Linked DNA regions of Tamandua tetradactyla. The protein of the gene in region 3 purifies or fractionates together with the protein of the main gene of each other region. This does not show direct contact. Links are inferred from orthologs where the notes say so. Each region holds a gene or a part of one and is shown on either strand. Other genes may lie near its edges.

Region 1 (5,277 bases), on a different chromosome or scaffold from region 3:
CAGGGGGTAAGTCTGAGAGGGATCTCTGGGGCTGGGTGAGGAGATTTGATCAAGGTCCAGGGATTGGTATGCACTAACCTTCTGTCCCCACATTGGAGGTCCCTTGACTGGGGAGGGACCGGAGACAGCAAGGCTCGCCATAGCTACTGACTGGGGGTGGGGTCATCGGGTTGAACATGGCGTCTCAGAGGTGGGTGTGGGGACACTGCAGAGGGAGAAGGGAGAGCTGCAAGTTATAAAGAGAGGAGGGAAATGGGAAGATCAGACAATTATCTCAAGCACAGAACCCTGGGCAAACCTTCCCCTGTGCCCCACCTTCTCCAAGACATGTGCTTGTGGGAAATCAAGTTGAACAGAGCATCACAGACAGGGAAGGGCTAAGGAGAGACATCCCAAAGAGACAGAGGCAGTCTTGGGGATCCTTGGGGGAATGAGGTGTGAGCTTTGTCTGGGTGTTCGGTGGGGTGGTGGTGGTTATTTTGCCTATAAGAACTTCAAGTGATGTTAATGCCACCGGACTCTTCTTTCTGCCCTGGCCATGGGCCTGCTTTGAGAAGTGGGATGAGGAAACTCAGCCCCTTTGCTTCTCTTGTCCCTGCCCTGGGACAGCCGTCTACAATCTCTCCAGGGTCCAGTAGAGGGAGCCCTAGCCACAGTCCAGCGAGGGAGCTGGGGCAGCCAGGCGGAAGCACCAGTCAGCCACTTCTCTCCCTCTTAGGCAAACCTGTGTTTACTAGTAGGAAAGGCATCCCAACATGTCTGTTGGGTTCATGGGATGGAAACTGGTGTTATTCTGGGGCCACTTACATATGGGCACCCACTTAACCCCTTTGGTCTCTGGGGGGAACAGAAAAGGGACTTGTGAAAGAAGCCTTTGGGAGAATGAAAAAACAGTCACCAACCATTAGAGAGGCGTTGTAAGGGAGGAGAGGGCGCTGTTGTCTGCTCTTCTACTTAAACTCCCGGTTTGTAGTCCATCCCGGGCTTTCCGGTCTCCCGAGACTGAGGGTGGGGTGGGGCGGGGTGGGGTGGAGAACCACCGGGAGCGGGCCGGCCCGCGCGGTGGGTGATCCCAGGATGCCGGGATTTAGGGTGAGGGCGGGGTAAAACGGGGAGCGGAACCCGGACCCCACGACGCAGCCCAAACCCCGCAGCCTGGGCCATACCCTTCCCAACTCCTTTCCAGCCGAGATCCGGATCCCGCATCCAAGACCTCCCAACTCGATCTTGGCACTGAACTGGGGGCGGGGGAGGGCAGCTCTGGGGGGGGGGGCACAGCTGGCTGGCAGCTGGACGGGGGGGGGCACTTCTCCCGCCTCCTTCCTCTATGACTCACCCAGGGGAAGGAGGCGGCTCGCAAATGACCCCCCAAACACTTGAGAGACTCCCCCAAACACGTCCTCTTTCATCGTCCTGCCCCTCTGCCCAGCAACCCGGGAACCGCTATTGAAAGGGGCGACATCCCTCCGGCCCACCGTGCTGCAGCCCACCCACGTCTCTCCTTCATTCTAGTGGAAGGAAAATTTCGCCAACTTTTCCAACTTCAGCAAAGCTTTTTCCTGGGGTGTGGGTGAAAGTGCGGAATGGGACAGGGAGCCCCAGGTTCCCTGCCGGAACCCCAAATCATCTTCTGTGTCTCCCTATTTTCCAGAATCCCCCTCGCACCTCCGCTCCCCCATCTCGGAGGAGCCGGCCCCGCCCCGCCTCCTCCCGGTCCCGCCTTTCCCGCCCCCGTGCCTCCTCGGCCCACCCAAGTCGCCGCCGCAGGCTCTGGCTGCAGACGGCTCAGCTTCCCCCGCCCGCCCCGGGAGCCCAGTCGAGCGAACCGTAGTGGAGGGGGCGGTGGGGATGAGGGGCGGGACACATTCTTCCCTCCTCCCCTCAGTGCATCCAGAAAGCAGGCCACAGCGCCTTGGGGGGACACCATTGGAGAATGGGGGTCCCCTTAGCAGGGAGGGGAAGAAAGATTCCAGAAAATGCTGGGAGAGAAAATGAGCGGGCAAATAAAAAAAGATGTGTATGGGAGGAGGGTTCGAGACCCCCTAGGTTCCCGGTATCCCAGCCGGCTTCCCAAGGGTTAACTCTTTCCAGACCCCTGGGAACCCCCTAGTGACGTCAAGGGCGGGGTCTGCGCCGCTAGGCGGGGATGCCAGAGAGATAATGGGGAGGGGGTCTCTGGACCCCGCCCCCCTAGGGAAAACCACTCTTATTCCAACCCTTCTGCCTCCCCGGTGAGATCGCCCCGCCTTCTCTCTTCTGGGGCATAAAGACCTATCCTATGAAGACCTCAGTTCTCCAGGCCGCTAAAACCCTCACTCCACAATCCATGGGGTCCCCCTTCCCTAGGCCTGCCCCCGAAGCTAGCTCCCAGAGCGGATTGCTTCGGGGTCACGGGGCCTGAAAGAGACTTCAGAGAGGGGAGCAAGGGCAGGCAGGGTGGTCTGAATCGGAGGAGGGGCTTCCCTTCCTAGCTCCTGTTTGGGCGTGTGCATGTGTGTGTGTGTGTGTGTGTGTGTGTGTGTGTGTAGCCAACAGGGATGCTCAGGCTGGCAGTGGCCAGTGGTCCCGCCCATCCTCAGTAGGGGTCTCCCTGTGGCTGGCCCTAGCTGCCCTGGTGGTCCTGAGGACAGAGGGTCAAGCCAAGGTCTTCTGAGCTCCTCCTTAGCGCCCTGCCCACAGCCCTTGGGACTCAGGAGCCCAAATTTCTTCGGCAATCTTTCTAAGGCCTAGACAAGACAACCTGGGCAGAATCTCTCCAGCTCCTTTCCTAGCTCAAAAGACACTTTTCCCCTAAAACACATGCACCTACGGGCATATCTGTCACAAGACAGGTCAGGGGTTCAAACCAACTAACCCTCTCCCCAGTGGTTTGGTCCTCTTACCACATGCACCCCCATCCCCATCCACCTAGGGCTCCCTCCTTCGCTGTCCCCTCCTCTCAGAGACACTGACATCTTCCTGCCCAGAGCTCAGAGACACACCTGGAGTTCTCTTTAGGGCGCAGACCTCTAGTTAGCCGTGCCTCCAGCCCCTTCATCTCAACGTGATAAAAGTGAGATGTTTCTAATACATGGGAGAGACACAGGCTGACAAAGAGACCCACAGCTGCTTGAGACAGACACATTGACTGTCAGTCACGGAAAAAAAAAGGGAGAAATGGGGGGGGGGGGGTGTAGGGAACCACAAATGAAAAAGTTCTCCAAACTTTCTAATATCTCACCCCAGACTCTCCCACCCCCATTTTGCCTCTGTGCCCCAGGTGTCCCTCTCGGCTGATCTCAATCCCTCGGAAACAGAGCATCCCCTCAGGCCCCCTCCCCCCACCGTCCCAGGTGGTCCCCCGCCTGCCCCCCTTCTCACCTCCGTCTGGGCGCAGGGCTTGGGATGCGCGGTCCAGGGCTGGAGTCTGGGCTGGGGGTGTGCGGTGGGGAGGGGGGGGCGGACAGGGCCACGGCGGCGCAGCCTCAGTGCCACCCCCACCCCCCCAACCTGGCCCCCAGCCCTCCCGCCGGCCCAGCCCGCCAGGCCTCGAGTCGGGACCACCCGCGAGAAGCGCAAACTTTTTTTTCCTTTTGCAAAAACTTTTTCTCGCTCTAGCCTCTGGCGCGCCGCGGCTCTTCCCGCTCGCCCCTCACCTCCCTCCTATTTCCCTCCCTCCTGCCGTTCTGGAAGATGAGGCGGGGTAGCTGGCAGGGAGAGTGGGGGTGCCGGGCTTATTGCACCCCCAGGACCCCCAGGATCCTCCCCCTCCCTCAAGGGACCCTATACTGCCTCCCCCCCGCACTCACCCCCCCCCCCCCGCGGAACACGCTTCTGTCGGTGGGCAGTAAATCCCGGTATGGATCCTTGGATCGGCTGCCCACGGAGAGACCCTGAACCAGGATCAGAAAAACAGACTGGGAAATTTATTAGGGGGCAGTGGGGGCAAAGAAAAAGTTATTTGAGAAAGACAGTATTGGAAGTAGGGTCGTCGACTGTGATAGGTGCTAACTTAGCATTCTGCCTTGCTGTGGTTTATATGCCCGTCTCACCCTTTGGAAGGAATTGGGAAGGGTTAGGACAGTTGAGGTTCGAGAAAGGGTTGAGGGGTTGGGAACCCTGGATGGATGGTGAGGGGTGCATAAAAGAGGGAAACAGCGACTGGGGAGGTTCTGGGTGCAGAGTGTGTGTTCACAAGGCCACTAAGGGAACCTGAGCCTGAGGTACTGTTCCCCAAGAACCGCTGATCTTCTTCATCTGGAAGTTCTGGAGACTACCATCACCTCTGCTCGTCTCAACTGCTTGCTTTCTCTTTCCTTTCTTCAGGGTTTTCTGCTCCCTCTGCTGGCCTTTTTGGCACATGACATCTTCTCAGAGTCTGTTGGAGAAGCAGTGAAACTCCGGGAACCTAAGGAGTAGTAGGCTTCTCTTGCTCTCCTCCACCACCCACCCAAAATCCAGGTAGGAGCTCAGGGTGGGGGATATTCGAGCCCAAAGAAGCAGAGGGACACACTGGCAGGCAGAAGCTGCTAGTGCAGAGCAGTAGTGTTGAACTGAACAGGAGTGTCCTGCCCCTTTGGATTTGTGTTGCCATGGTGATCAGATGCAGGGGAAGGGGCAGCTATTTTAGTCTCTTACCTTTATGAGAAAGGGGAGAAAACATGGTGGGGGGAAAGAGTTCCTTCTCCTTTCTGTCACCCCCCAGACAGACTTCCACACCTGAGCTCTGCTTCTAAGGACGACCTCCTTGGGCCTGGAGGGTCAGCGGGTTACTGGTTTGGTCTGAGGATTCTGGGGTAAAGGAAGCCAGGGAGAGGTTGGGGTCCTACAAAGATAGGTAGTAATTATGGGGGCAGAAGGAAAGATTGGCATTCTATTTGAGCCTCCCTCCCCCACATGACTTTGACCCAGGCTCTGGTTATACTGAAAGGATCAGGGACCCAGTTCAGTCAGGCCAGAGAAATGGTCAACGCAAAGGAAGGGATGTGATCCCTACATGTGCTCCCACCCCAGCCCCATGCCCTTCCTCCAAGGGAGCACTCTCTCTGCACATAGGGCTTTCACCTCCCCACCCAGTACTTTAGACCATTGGTTCTCAAACTTTTTAGTCTCAGGATTCACACACTTAAAAATTATTGAGATTTTGTTTATGTGGCTTATATCTATCAATTTACCAAATTAGAATCAAAATTGGAAAATCTTTAACACAAGGATATGCAAGCACTCATTCCACCAACAACGACATCAGAACGATGATGTAATCACATGTCAAGCAACCTCTGGAAAACTCCACTGTAC
Region 2 (5,277 bases), on a different chromosome or scaffold from region 3:
ATTGAGAAGTAAAGACAATATAAAAACACTTCAAAAAACTCATACTCTATAAAACACAATTAAAAAAAACACAATATAACAAACAGATTAAAATGACATAAATAGTTACAATATGATTTGTGTCCTTTACAAGCTGATTAGCTTTGTATAGCATCGCTGGCCTGGACTAGCTAAAAACAGTATCTGCATAGTTTTTACCCCTCAGCATACAAAACTCCCATATTTGATACACACACAGACACACATACCTTCATCTAAATAGGAATCTACCAGACTTCCTCCTAGCTTCTTGATGACATGAATTGCCTCTAGATTGCCAGATCCTTTCAGTCGGAGAACAGCTTCTACAGCTAGCTTAGTAAAGTGGTCTTTGTGATGGGTGAGAAGTTTTGAAGATAACGTTGTTCCTGCAATGTTCATTAAATCTTGACGGAATTTAACTTCGTCAGAGCTAAAAACAAACAAAAAAGGATATCATATCTGTTCTTAAAATGCTTCTCTAAAGATATCAACTCCTTTTTTCAAAATTTATTCAGATACCCTATGTCAAATAGGTAATCTCACTCCAAATGGCAAGTGTTCTAATTTTTTAATGTACGCAATTTGAAAATAATTCAACAATAATCAAGAAATGCAAATTAAAAGTACCATTTTCCTCACCAAAAAAAAAGAAAAAGAAACAAATCATATTCGCACACGCTGTCAAGAACACAGGGAAACAGTCACTGTTATATACCTAATATTTTCTAGAGATTTAATAATGTAAATAAAAATGACTTAAAACACCTATATACCTCAGACCCAGCAATAACATAATTACTTGGTAACAAGTTTGTCACATTATTATAAAGCTAAAAATTGGCAACAACAACAAACTTTCAACGTAGACAAGTTGAGTGAATTATACCATAGTCATAAAAATCAAATGACTATAGTAAAATTAATACTGCTGAGAATATCTGACATTTAGAAATGTGCTTAGTATTCAACAAGGTTAAAGAAGCTAAAAACTCTCTATATAATATACTACTTGCTTTCTGTTTGCATCTTTGTTTTGATTATATAAGCAAAAAACCCCAGAAATCTAAACTTTGATGTTGATGGCTATCACTGGAGGATGATGTGGGTTTTTTTTTATTTGGGGAGGACAGCAGCATCTGTTTGTGCTTACCTTTCAGTGCTCTCCAGATTTCCTACGCTGAGCATGTTATAAATGAATGCGAAATTTTAAGAGTAGAAAAGTAGATAGTAGTATTTTGGTATACCAACCCATGATCAACTGCAGAACTCAACAGAGCCTCTCTTGCTGCCTTTGTAGCTTCTCTCCAACCAGCAATGATGGTCTGTGGATGAATCTTCTTTGCAATTAAAGTTTCTGCTTCCTATTAATAAACAGTGGAAAGCACTTGTCAATAGTGAAGATGTGATTACTGCTATTTAAACTACAGTAGCAAAACAAAGTTAAAGTTGCAGTTATTTTCTTACCCTTAATAATTCTGCTGCTAAAACAGTAACAGAGGTAGTGCCATCACCAACTTCATCATCTTGAACTCTGGACATATCTAAAAAAAATCATCTATTAACTCATATCTAATTCTGCTTTTTGCATTACTTCTCTATTGCTTAATGCTCCAAATACATCAATTACCAATCTAAATCTCACTTACCTAAGATTCCTTAACCTGACAGTCTCTGGAACTTTAAGGTCTGCAATGTAATAGTTTTAACCACCAATAATTATACTGCATTCTAGAAGCTTGTGTTTTAGTAATAACAATCCAGTAAAAAGTGGTGGGCAATTAACTGAAAGTACAATTAGTTAACACAGCCTATTAAAAAACAAGCTTCTTAAAATGTTAATGAAACAACAATATTATCCTCAGACTCACCAACTAAAACTTTAGCTGCTGGGTTGTCAACACCAATGTTTTTTAGAATAGTTGCACCATCATTGGTTACCATAAGAGAGGCATCTCGTCCACTGCTTAAAAGAATTTTATCCTAAAGGGAATATATTTGATCCAAGTTAAGACAGAGGTACATTTTTTTTTTCAGAGGTACATCTTGAGGAAAGTGGGTCAATTAGTATTCTCACACACTGTTACTGCATAAACACTCTGGATAGCTAGCTATTTTGATGTATCTACTCAAATTTTTTCAGTATGTACACCCCAAAACAAAGCCCTAGCATTTAATCCTACAAACACTACAAAGCACAGGGAGACAGGAATAAGGTTTGTTTCAGCACTGTAACAGTTGAAACAAGGGGAACAGATGAAGTGTCCATCAACAGTCATAGTAAACTATAAAATAATCAAATTGCTTCTCGACAGTTAAAGTGGAGGTAATATATCTACTTACGCTAACACAAAGCAAGCTACAGAAAAAGTGTAACACACACATTAAGTACACAGAAAGATATCCAGAATATGTAAATCAAAATAACAGTGGCTGCCATTGGGGAAGGGACTAAGTTTGGGGAAGGTGTTCTATCAAGACTTGAATGGGTACTATTTTGATTTTTAGTGAGAATATATTTATATCTTACTTATATAATTCTAAGTTTTAAAGATAAAAAAAATTTTAAAAACTAATCGTTATTAACTATATCTCTACCAATGACTCTAAAACAGTATTAAAATTTACAAAAACATTCCTGTTTTCCTTACCATGCCCTTAGGTCCCAAGGTGCTCTTTACCAAATCTCCAATGGCGATAGCACCAATGAAAGAAGACTGAAATAAAGTCAGAGAATGTCAGAATCAGTCACCTTTAAAGTCTTAAAGGAAGAGTACAATTTTATTCTTAAAAGCAGGAAGAAAAAACAAAGCTCACCAGACGAGCTGTCTCTGCTCTTTCTTCATCAGCTCCAGCCTTGAAGATGTTAACAGGTGCAAGGGAAAGGGATGCCTAAAAAGAAAAATCAAGAAACCTATAATTTGAATTATCAGTACTCTTTAACACAGTATGTTCAGAGTTCTTCCACTAGACTTAGAGTTGATATCTAAGCAAAAATTTTACAGCACAGTGTACCTGCTCTACATCAGAACAGGTGAGGCGGAGCTTGCAAAACCTGTACCAAACTAAATTATACTCCAAAGAAACTGCCTGTTAAGTACGGCACAGCTAAAAATAATTTTAAACTACGAATAAGAAAGTCGGGATCTGCAGACCACCTCGGGAGGATCGTCCGGCAGGCGAGGGAATAATGCCGCCAAGGCCTCCATCTTCAACCCTCGAACCTCCTGGACCCGCCCCAAGAGGGAGGGCAGAGCCAGCCTGGTGTACTAGAAATTTCTTCGCTCGAGCTAAGGCCTGGGCGGCAGAAATTCTGGAACTGTGGAGGCCGCGGAATAAGGCGTTACCTTTGAGGCCTACTCTTCTCCCCGCCCGGCGTAGAGGACTCACACCAGTGGGCACCACGCAGGCCCCACGCCGCTGCCCGCGCCATGTGCGGCGGCCCCACGAGAGAGGCACTGGGAGCCCGCGGCGCTGGGACAGGAGAGCGGGCAGTCGGGCGGTAGCCCACCTCGGGACACAGCAGGTCAAGAGCAGGGGTAAACGGACTCACCATGGCTCCAAAGAGTTCAGTACGCCCGCTAATTCCTTTACAGCTCACGCGGGAGGACTGAGAAGATGAGGGACACGGAAGTGACACCACACGCTCTTCTGGAGGGGGCGGGACCAGGCTCCGCGCTCCGCCCCAGACGCCGCTGCGCGCAGAGGAAGGGAAGAGGACGTTTTGAGTGGAGGCTCGCGAGACTTAAGCGCAGGTCTTTACACGGCAGGGGGCGGGGCCTCGGCCCACGCTCCTCCCTCTGCTACAGCACCACCCTCAGGCCCGGAAGGGAGGAGTCTGGCATTCTGGGTGGAGCCGGGCGGATTTGGCTGTGGGCGTCTTGAGGACAAAGAGACGCTGCGCCGCAGGATTTATCATAGCAACGGGGTTCTTGCCCGCCCTTCAGTTTTCTTTTCTTACATTTCGTTTTTAATGATTTGTTTTAAAGTAAACATACACAGTGCAAAGTGCCATATACTAATCATGGAAAACATAATTCTCCTACTGCATCATTACTCTTCCTAGAAGCAACGCCTTTGAACTTTTCCAGCTTTTTTTGGTTGTTTACATCGTATTCTTAAATATGTTTATTGCTGTTGTAATTTAAAATATGGCTTAGGTATTAAGAAGGAACACATACTTTCCTTTCACTGAATTTTAAAACGCTGCTTCTAATTGGAAGATGACTGCGCCAAAGGGCAGTCCGGGGAACTCTGGAGTCCTTTATCTTTGCGCATTTTCAGAAGGCTTTGCATTTTATTCGTTTTTTTTTCTCCTCACTAGTGGAGATGACTAACATACTCTTACATAATGTCTTGGTAAAGATAAAAAAATCAATGCCAAATATTTCAGATTTTAAAAACAAACAGTATTCTTATTTCCCAAAATGACCTCTAAGACTATAAAGCCAGTTAAAAAAAAAAAAGAAAACCCATTGGTTTTCTATCATCCGCTATTATCCACTTTTCTTCTGTTGGCTAGTTGCTTAGCAAGCTCCTGATTTTTGACAATTGCTTACATTTGACAGGTATTTTCTATTTTAAATTGCCTTTCTGCCTTTCAATACACTTTAAATGGGGAGGGTTTACACCAGGGTTTGGCAAACTATGGGAGACAAATCCAGCCTGCCTCCTGTTTTTGTATGGCCCAAAAGCTAAGAATGGTTTTTACATGTTCAAATGGTTGTGAAAAAAATTTTTTTAATGATTTTGTGATGTGAAAATTACATGAAGTTCAAATTTCAGTGTCCATAAAATTTTATTGGAACACAGGCATACCCCTTCGTTTTTGTACTGTCTGTGACTGCTTTTGCAATACATTGACAGAGTGAGTTATTCCACAGTCCTGTAGACACTTTGTGGCCTGTCAAGCCTAAGGTATTTATTATGGGATCCTTTACAGAAGATATTGCCAATCCTGGGTAACACTATTCCTAACATCCAATTTGAAAAGGAGTGTTCTAACTGAGTAAATTTTTAAAATCTACCTAGAATTTTCTGGGGTTTTGTGTGTGTGTGTGTTAAAATTGGTCTTTCAAAAGGAAATGCACTTCATTGGGCATATCTCAAATTGCATTCTGGAATGAGAAGAGTCACTATAATGAGCAGCTAAGATGCCTGCATAATATTGTAAAAGGCTACTTTTATTGTGGGCAAAATTACACATTGGGAAATATTTAATATTATGTCAACTGAAGGGTAAGCCTGAGGCTAACGATG
Region 3 (5,277 bases):
CAGATAATATAATGAAAATTTTGAAATATTACGAGAATTACCAAAATGTGACAGAGAAAAGAAGTGAGCACATGCTGCTGGAAAAATGGTGCTGATAGACTTGCTTGGCACAGGGTTGCCACAAACTTTCAATACATGGAAAAAAGTAAAACACAATAAAATGATGTATACCTATATCTGGCCCTTTACAGAAAATGTTCGCCAACTCTTGCTCTAGACACACTAGATTATATTAGCATCTTGAAGGTAGCATTCACCTTAACACCAAAGTATCCTTTGTTCAGACTGTTCCATCAACTTAGGATGTATTTTCTTCATCTTTGATGATCAGCTCAAGCCCCAAACACCTTCCTGATTAGAATGGTCTTTTCCTCTGCATTCAATTTGTATATAGCACTTAATTTCATTTAGTATCTGAGTTATTTACATCTATCTATATTCACAAGACTGGTGCTACTTGAAGGCAATGACAAATATGCCCTGTACATCACAGAGGCTCACAAAGATTCAGTGAATTGAACTAAGATTCAAAGGAAGTACGTGCCTGCCCCAAATCACATAGCTAACAAGTGATTTGGGAGTCAACTCTTTTTTTTGCATGGGTAGGTACCCGGAATCGAACCCCGGTCTCCAACATGGCAGGTGAGAACTCTGCCTGCTGAGCCACTGTCCTACACTGCCCCTAACAGCTTTTAAATAGGTTGCTGAGAGACTTTATGGAAAAGAATAGGGGAAATAATACTTTTTATTTAGATATTACTTTAAATTTTAAAGGAATGGTCCATCACTATTCTTATAACAGGAACTGCTTTTATTTCTGCATTAAAGGGGAGTGACCTGAGGCCCAGAAAGGTAAACTGACCTGCCCAATACTGCAAAGCTTCTCAGTGGCAGATCCAAATCTGATTCACAATCTAATGACCTCACTGCAAAATTCACAAGCAGTTTCTTAAGAAGTAACGAGTTTGCTTTCTTCTCCAAAGACTCAGCTCTTTCCACTTTCTCTTCTTTTAAATCAAGAGTGTGGTGATCACAAAACCATGCAAACTGAGGTAGCTATCAAGTCATAGGCTCTAGCTTCTAATGGGCCTCACCACTGCCCAACAATTCTTACAATTCCTCTACTCTCTTTCACAACAGCTACTTCAGATCTTCTCTCTCTTCAAGATTCCTACTCTATCATTTGCCCTCCCTCGCTCTCAGGAAAATAAATATTCACTTACTTCATCCAGAGAATTCCCTCAACCTTCCTTATCTTCTCCCCTTCAAACTCACCTATATTTGAACTTTTTCTTGCCACTTATCCTTCTGTCACAAAGGAAATTCCTCTTGAAGGATAGTGCCCCTCCTTGTGCTCTGGTTTCCATCTCACCTGGTCTCCTCAAGAACTTCCATCACCATTAGCCCCATTCTCTCCTGTACCCTCAACCTTTCTCTCTCTCCAGCTCTTTTCCATTAGAATTTGAACATGTGCAACTCTCAGCCACTACATGACCACTTCTATCAACATTCTTCTCTCCCTGCTCCAGACAAGCTTCCCTCAAAAAGGGTTTAATCTGATGTTTCCTCTTCACCCACTTATTCACTTCCCAGTGTACAGCACAGCAACGGTTCTTGCCAATATTTGAACACTCTCTCCCTCCTTGGGCTTTTGTAACCCAAGACTTCTGGTTTGCTAACCTGTCTGGCCACTCCCTCTGTGTCATTATTCATTTATTCAGAGTCTACTGTGAGTTAGGCACTGTTCAGGGGACTGAGGATAAAGAGGTGGATAAGGCATAGTTCCTTTCTTTAAGGAACTTACTGTCTGCAAGAAATAATAACAAGTATACCGACAATTTCAGTACACAGTGTCAAGTGCAATGTCAGGAGAATTCAGAGATGGGGGGTACTAGGTTTCTTTCCCCCAGTCCACTTTTTTTGGCTTTTGTTTTTGTGTTTTATTTTTGTTCCTCAGTCCACTTTTTAAATGTTGCTCCTTTTTAGTATTCCCTTCTGGATCCTCTTTTCTTTTCATCCTACATAACTTCTTGTGACTACATCCATTCTATGACTAAAATCACCAGGTATATGGGATGGCTGCCAAAAATCTCTACCTTCTCATCTCTGTCTTCTAAACTGTAGACCTGGACAAAGGGCTTACTGGGTGTCTCTACGTGGCTATCCACCAGACATCTCAACAGGTATTACATTAAAAAAAAAAAATGAAACAAATTTATCAACTGAGACAGCCTTCACCAAACACCCACTATCAAATTACACAAGCCAGAAACTTAGAATCCTTACCTTCTTTCTTACCCCTACACATTCATGAACTTATTTCCTGCCCCAGAGTGATATCTGTAAGGCATAAACCTGATTATGACAGTAATGTCCTTAAAACTTCAATAGCTCACCAGTGCCTTCAGAATAAAGTTCAACTTCCTTGGAAGGGCACACCTAGATTTTCATTATCTAGTCCCCATTTACTTCTCTAGCCTCATTACCTTCAATCCCTGCTTCTCACCTTCTATACTCTGCCCCCAATTCTATGCCTCAACCATACTGTACACATATTCGCTGTTTTTCAAAGGTGCTGTCCTTGTCTTGCCTCTAAACTTGTTGTTACCTTAGCTTTCCCTGTGCCTGGCTAATAAATTCTCGTTCTTCAGGTCGTAACTGAGGTGATACCTTCCTCCTTGACTCCCCAGGCTGGGTTGGGTGACTCTTCCTGTGCTCCCATAACACTCTGAGCTCTCCTTTATCCCAACACTGAACTTGGGAGTAATTCTCTGTCAATGTCTATCCCCCCTTTTACACCGCGAGCTGAAAATGGGAAGTGTGACTTAGATCATCCCAGCACCTACATGCTACCTAGTACAGAGGAAGCTGCTCGGTAGACTGTTGTTAAATGGATAAGCCTGTTTTAACAGGTTGCATCTTTCTTCCAACCTGAGGGACCCTATTTCCCAGTAGCAACCACAGGCCAGGCTCAGAGATGGGAGGGAGGGAGAATACTAGGTAACCTCTAGCCGGCGATTCCCTCCGGATTCTCACCAAAATCGGTGAGGAAGAAAAGAAACAGTCAAAGACATGTGTAGTCCCAGCAGGGAAATCTATCCTTATTACCTTCTCTATCAGATTTTGCCTCCTCCCTCAGACTCAGCCTCCCCTCCAGGAGCCCTACTCAAACTCTCCACATCGGACTTCTTCAGAAGCCTGCCCCTGAGATTATCTCAGCCTTGACCCCAGACCACCCTCTCCCGGTCTCAGCCTCGACCGCCTTTTCCTCTCAGCTTTGACCTCCTTTCTTCTCTCAGCCTCCTCCCTCAGTCTCGACCTCCCTTTCTCGGCCTCCCCTCTCAGCCTCGACTCTTTTCCTCCCTCCAACGCCTCCGCCAGCCTCAGCCTCTCTCAGCCTCTCCACTCAGATCTCGACCTCAGTCTCCCTCTCCCCGACCCGGCCCAGCCCAGGCTCCGCCCCCGCCGTGAGGACGGTGCTCACCGTCGTAGTAGTAACAGACTTTCCTCCTGGTGCCCTGAGTCTGCGCCATCTTGCTTGCCTCCTGTCCCTCCCGTCAGTCAGTCCGTCCGCCCTCTCGCCCACGGCTCTGCTCAGGGACCGTCCCAGGGGAGAGAGGGCGGGCCTCCAACCCGCTCCGCCCGTCCCCCTCACCTATAGCGGCGCAGCCCGGGCACCACTCCAGCCAATCAGCTCGCACGGGGACGGGCCCGGAACTCGGCAGGGGGTAAGGGCAGCCCGGAGTAGCAGCCGAGGGCCCCCTGGGCCTGTACCAAGGTCCTCAACAGGGGGGTGGGGAGCCTGGGGACTGTACCATTAGTCCCGGGGGAGAAAGACAGGTCGGTAACTTCACAGTGTTATTTTGTTGTTGAAAGTATGCTTGGAGATGAGAAGTCAACTTTGTAATTTACAGATAATAAACTGAGGCCTACAGAGGAAAAGTGACTTGCACAAGGTCACCCAGTTTAATGAAGGGACTGACTAGATTAGAAAATGCATTGAAGGAGGAAGAAATAGACAAGTAAGGGAAAGAAAATTAATGTTTGTGGAGGCCCCCGCTATGGGCCAAGTACTGTGCAATAGCTTTACTGACGTTGACTCAGTTACTCCCCAGAAAAACTCCGGAAGAGGGCTTTTTAATCCCCATTTTACAGTTAGGATTAATGAAAGTCAGACATTTGTGAATTGCTCAGAGTCACACAATTAGTACGTGAATTCAATTTTCAGCTGTATAGGTGTTTTGAACGCCTACTATGTGTCAAAGGCACTGTAACAAAGTGGCAGAAGCCAGTCATTGTGAGTCCAAAGCCTACTTCCCTAAATCAGCCAGGAGGACTAAGGAGTGTCTTTAGACAGGAGGAAGCTGGATTACGTTCTTACACTAGAGCAGAGTTTCTCAATCTAGGAGTTATTGACATTTTGTGCTAGATACTTCCTTGTTGTAGGGGCCAGTCCTGTGCACTCTAGAATGCTTAGCTCCATTCCTAATCTCTACCACTAAATACCAGGAGCAGCTTCCCTGCCCCCTGCCTCTAGCTGTGGCAACCAAAAATGTCTCCTGTATTGCTGAATGTCTCCTTAGGGGAAGCTGATGTTAAAAATCACCCCACTATCCTCTTGAGAACCACTGCAATAGACTAATCCATCATCAATCAGTTATTATTGCAAGCTAAGAGACTGAAAAACACTGTTCTGAGTTATTAAAATAACGACTATGAAAATATTAATATTTAGTGAGTGCTTACCATGTGCCAAGCATTATGCTAACTTACTAGTGGTCCTATAGTCATTAAGATGCATTTTTATGCCTCTTTACATTTAAAGAATGCTCGAGGACATGTGTTCCTCACTTAGGGATTGCATTTGGGCTATTAATTTGAAAGGTAACAGTGGAGATCTAAGACTGGGCCATGGTGTTATAAACATGGGAAAGGCCAAGGAACAAATCCTATTGCAAGTTCTAGGTTGCTAGTTCCTGGCTAGCCTTGAGTGGATACCTTAACCTTTCTGGGCTTCCATTTCCCTCTTCATAAAATAGGGAGGATAAGAATACAAAGTTCACTGACTATGTCCAAACACAGGAGAAGGATGGAGATCAAATGAGATCAGAAGTTGGCGGCACTTTATAAAAATACAGACACAAACTCAGATGTCTAAAGAGGTCATGCAGGTGATGTAAATGAATGGATTTTATTATTTTGACTCAGCAGCTCCTCTTTGCATATTTTGAGAATTGAACTAGTCTTCACTTTCATAAAGAAATATACCTTCCCCCA

What was found.
Region 1: the proteins of HDAC1 (region 3) and GLI1 purify together in Homo sapiens (affinity purification with western blotting; 3 studies listed by BioGRID). This does not show direct contact. The link is inferred for Tamandua tetradactyla from reciprocal best matches to the Homo sapiens genes HDAC1 and GLI1.
Region 2: the proteins of HDAC1 (region 3) and CCT2 purify together in Homo sapiens (affinity purification with mass spectrometry; 4 studies listed by BioGRID and IntAct, counting the BioPlex papers as one, with this or other methods). This does not show direct contact. The link is inferred for Tamandua tetradactyla from reciprocal best matches to the Homo sapiens genes HDAC1 and CCT2.

Annotation. Positions count from the first base shown.
Region 1 is NC_135333.1:124,767,700-124,772,976, reverse strand, and holds the start of GLI1 (zinc finger protein GLI1), read right to left. Parts: upstream 3,471-5,277; 5' UTR 3,361-3,470; intron 977-3,360; exon of another isoform or gene 903-976; intron 206-902; 5' UTR 179-205; coding exon 79-178; intron 1-78. UniProt on the Homo sapiens protein: Acts as a transcriptional activator. Binds to the DNA consensus sequence 5'-GACCACCCA-3'. Regulates the transcription of specific genes during normal development.
Region 2 is NC_135333.1:138,142,606-138,147,882, reverse strand, and holds the start of CCT2 (T-complex protein 1 subunit beta), read right to left. Parts: upstream 3,747-5,277; 5' UTR 3,575-3,746; coding exon 3,572-3,574; intron 2,911-3,571; coding exon 2,836-2,910; intron 2,736-2,835; coding exon 2,670-2,735; intron 2,002-2,669; coding exon 1,890-2,001; intron 1,563-1,889; coding exon 1,486-1,562; intron 1,383-1,485; coding exon 1,270-1,382; intron 452-1,269; coding exon 249-451; intron 1-248. UniProt on the Homo sapiens protein: Component of the chaperonin-containing T-complex (TRiC), a molecular chaperone complex that assists the folding of actin, tubulin and other proteins upon ATP hydrolysis.
Region 3 is NC_135328.1:193,616,282-193,621,558, forward strand, and holds the start of HDAC1 (histone deacetylase 1), read right to left. Parts: upstream 3,636-5,277; 5' UTR 3,534-3,635; coding exon 3,485-3,533; intron 1-3,484. UniProt on the Homo sapiens protein: Histone deacetylase that catalyzes the deacetylation of lysine residues on the N-terminal part of the core histones (H2A, H2B, H3 and H4).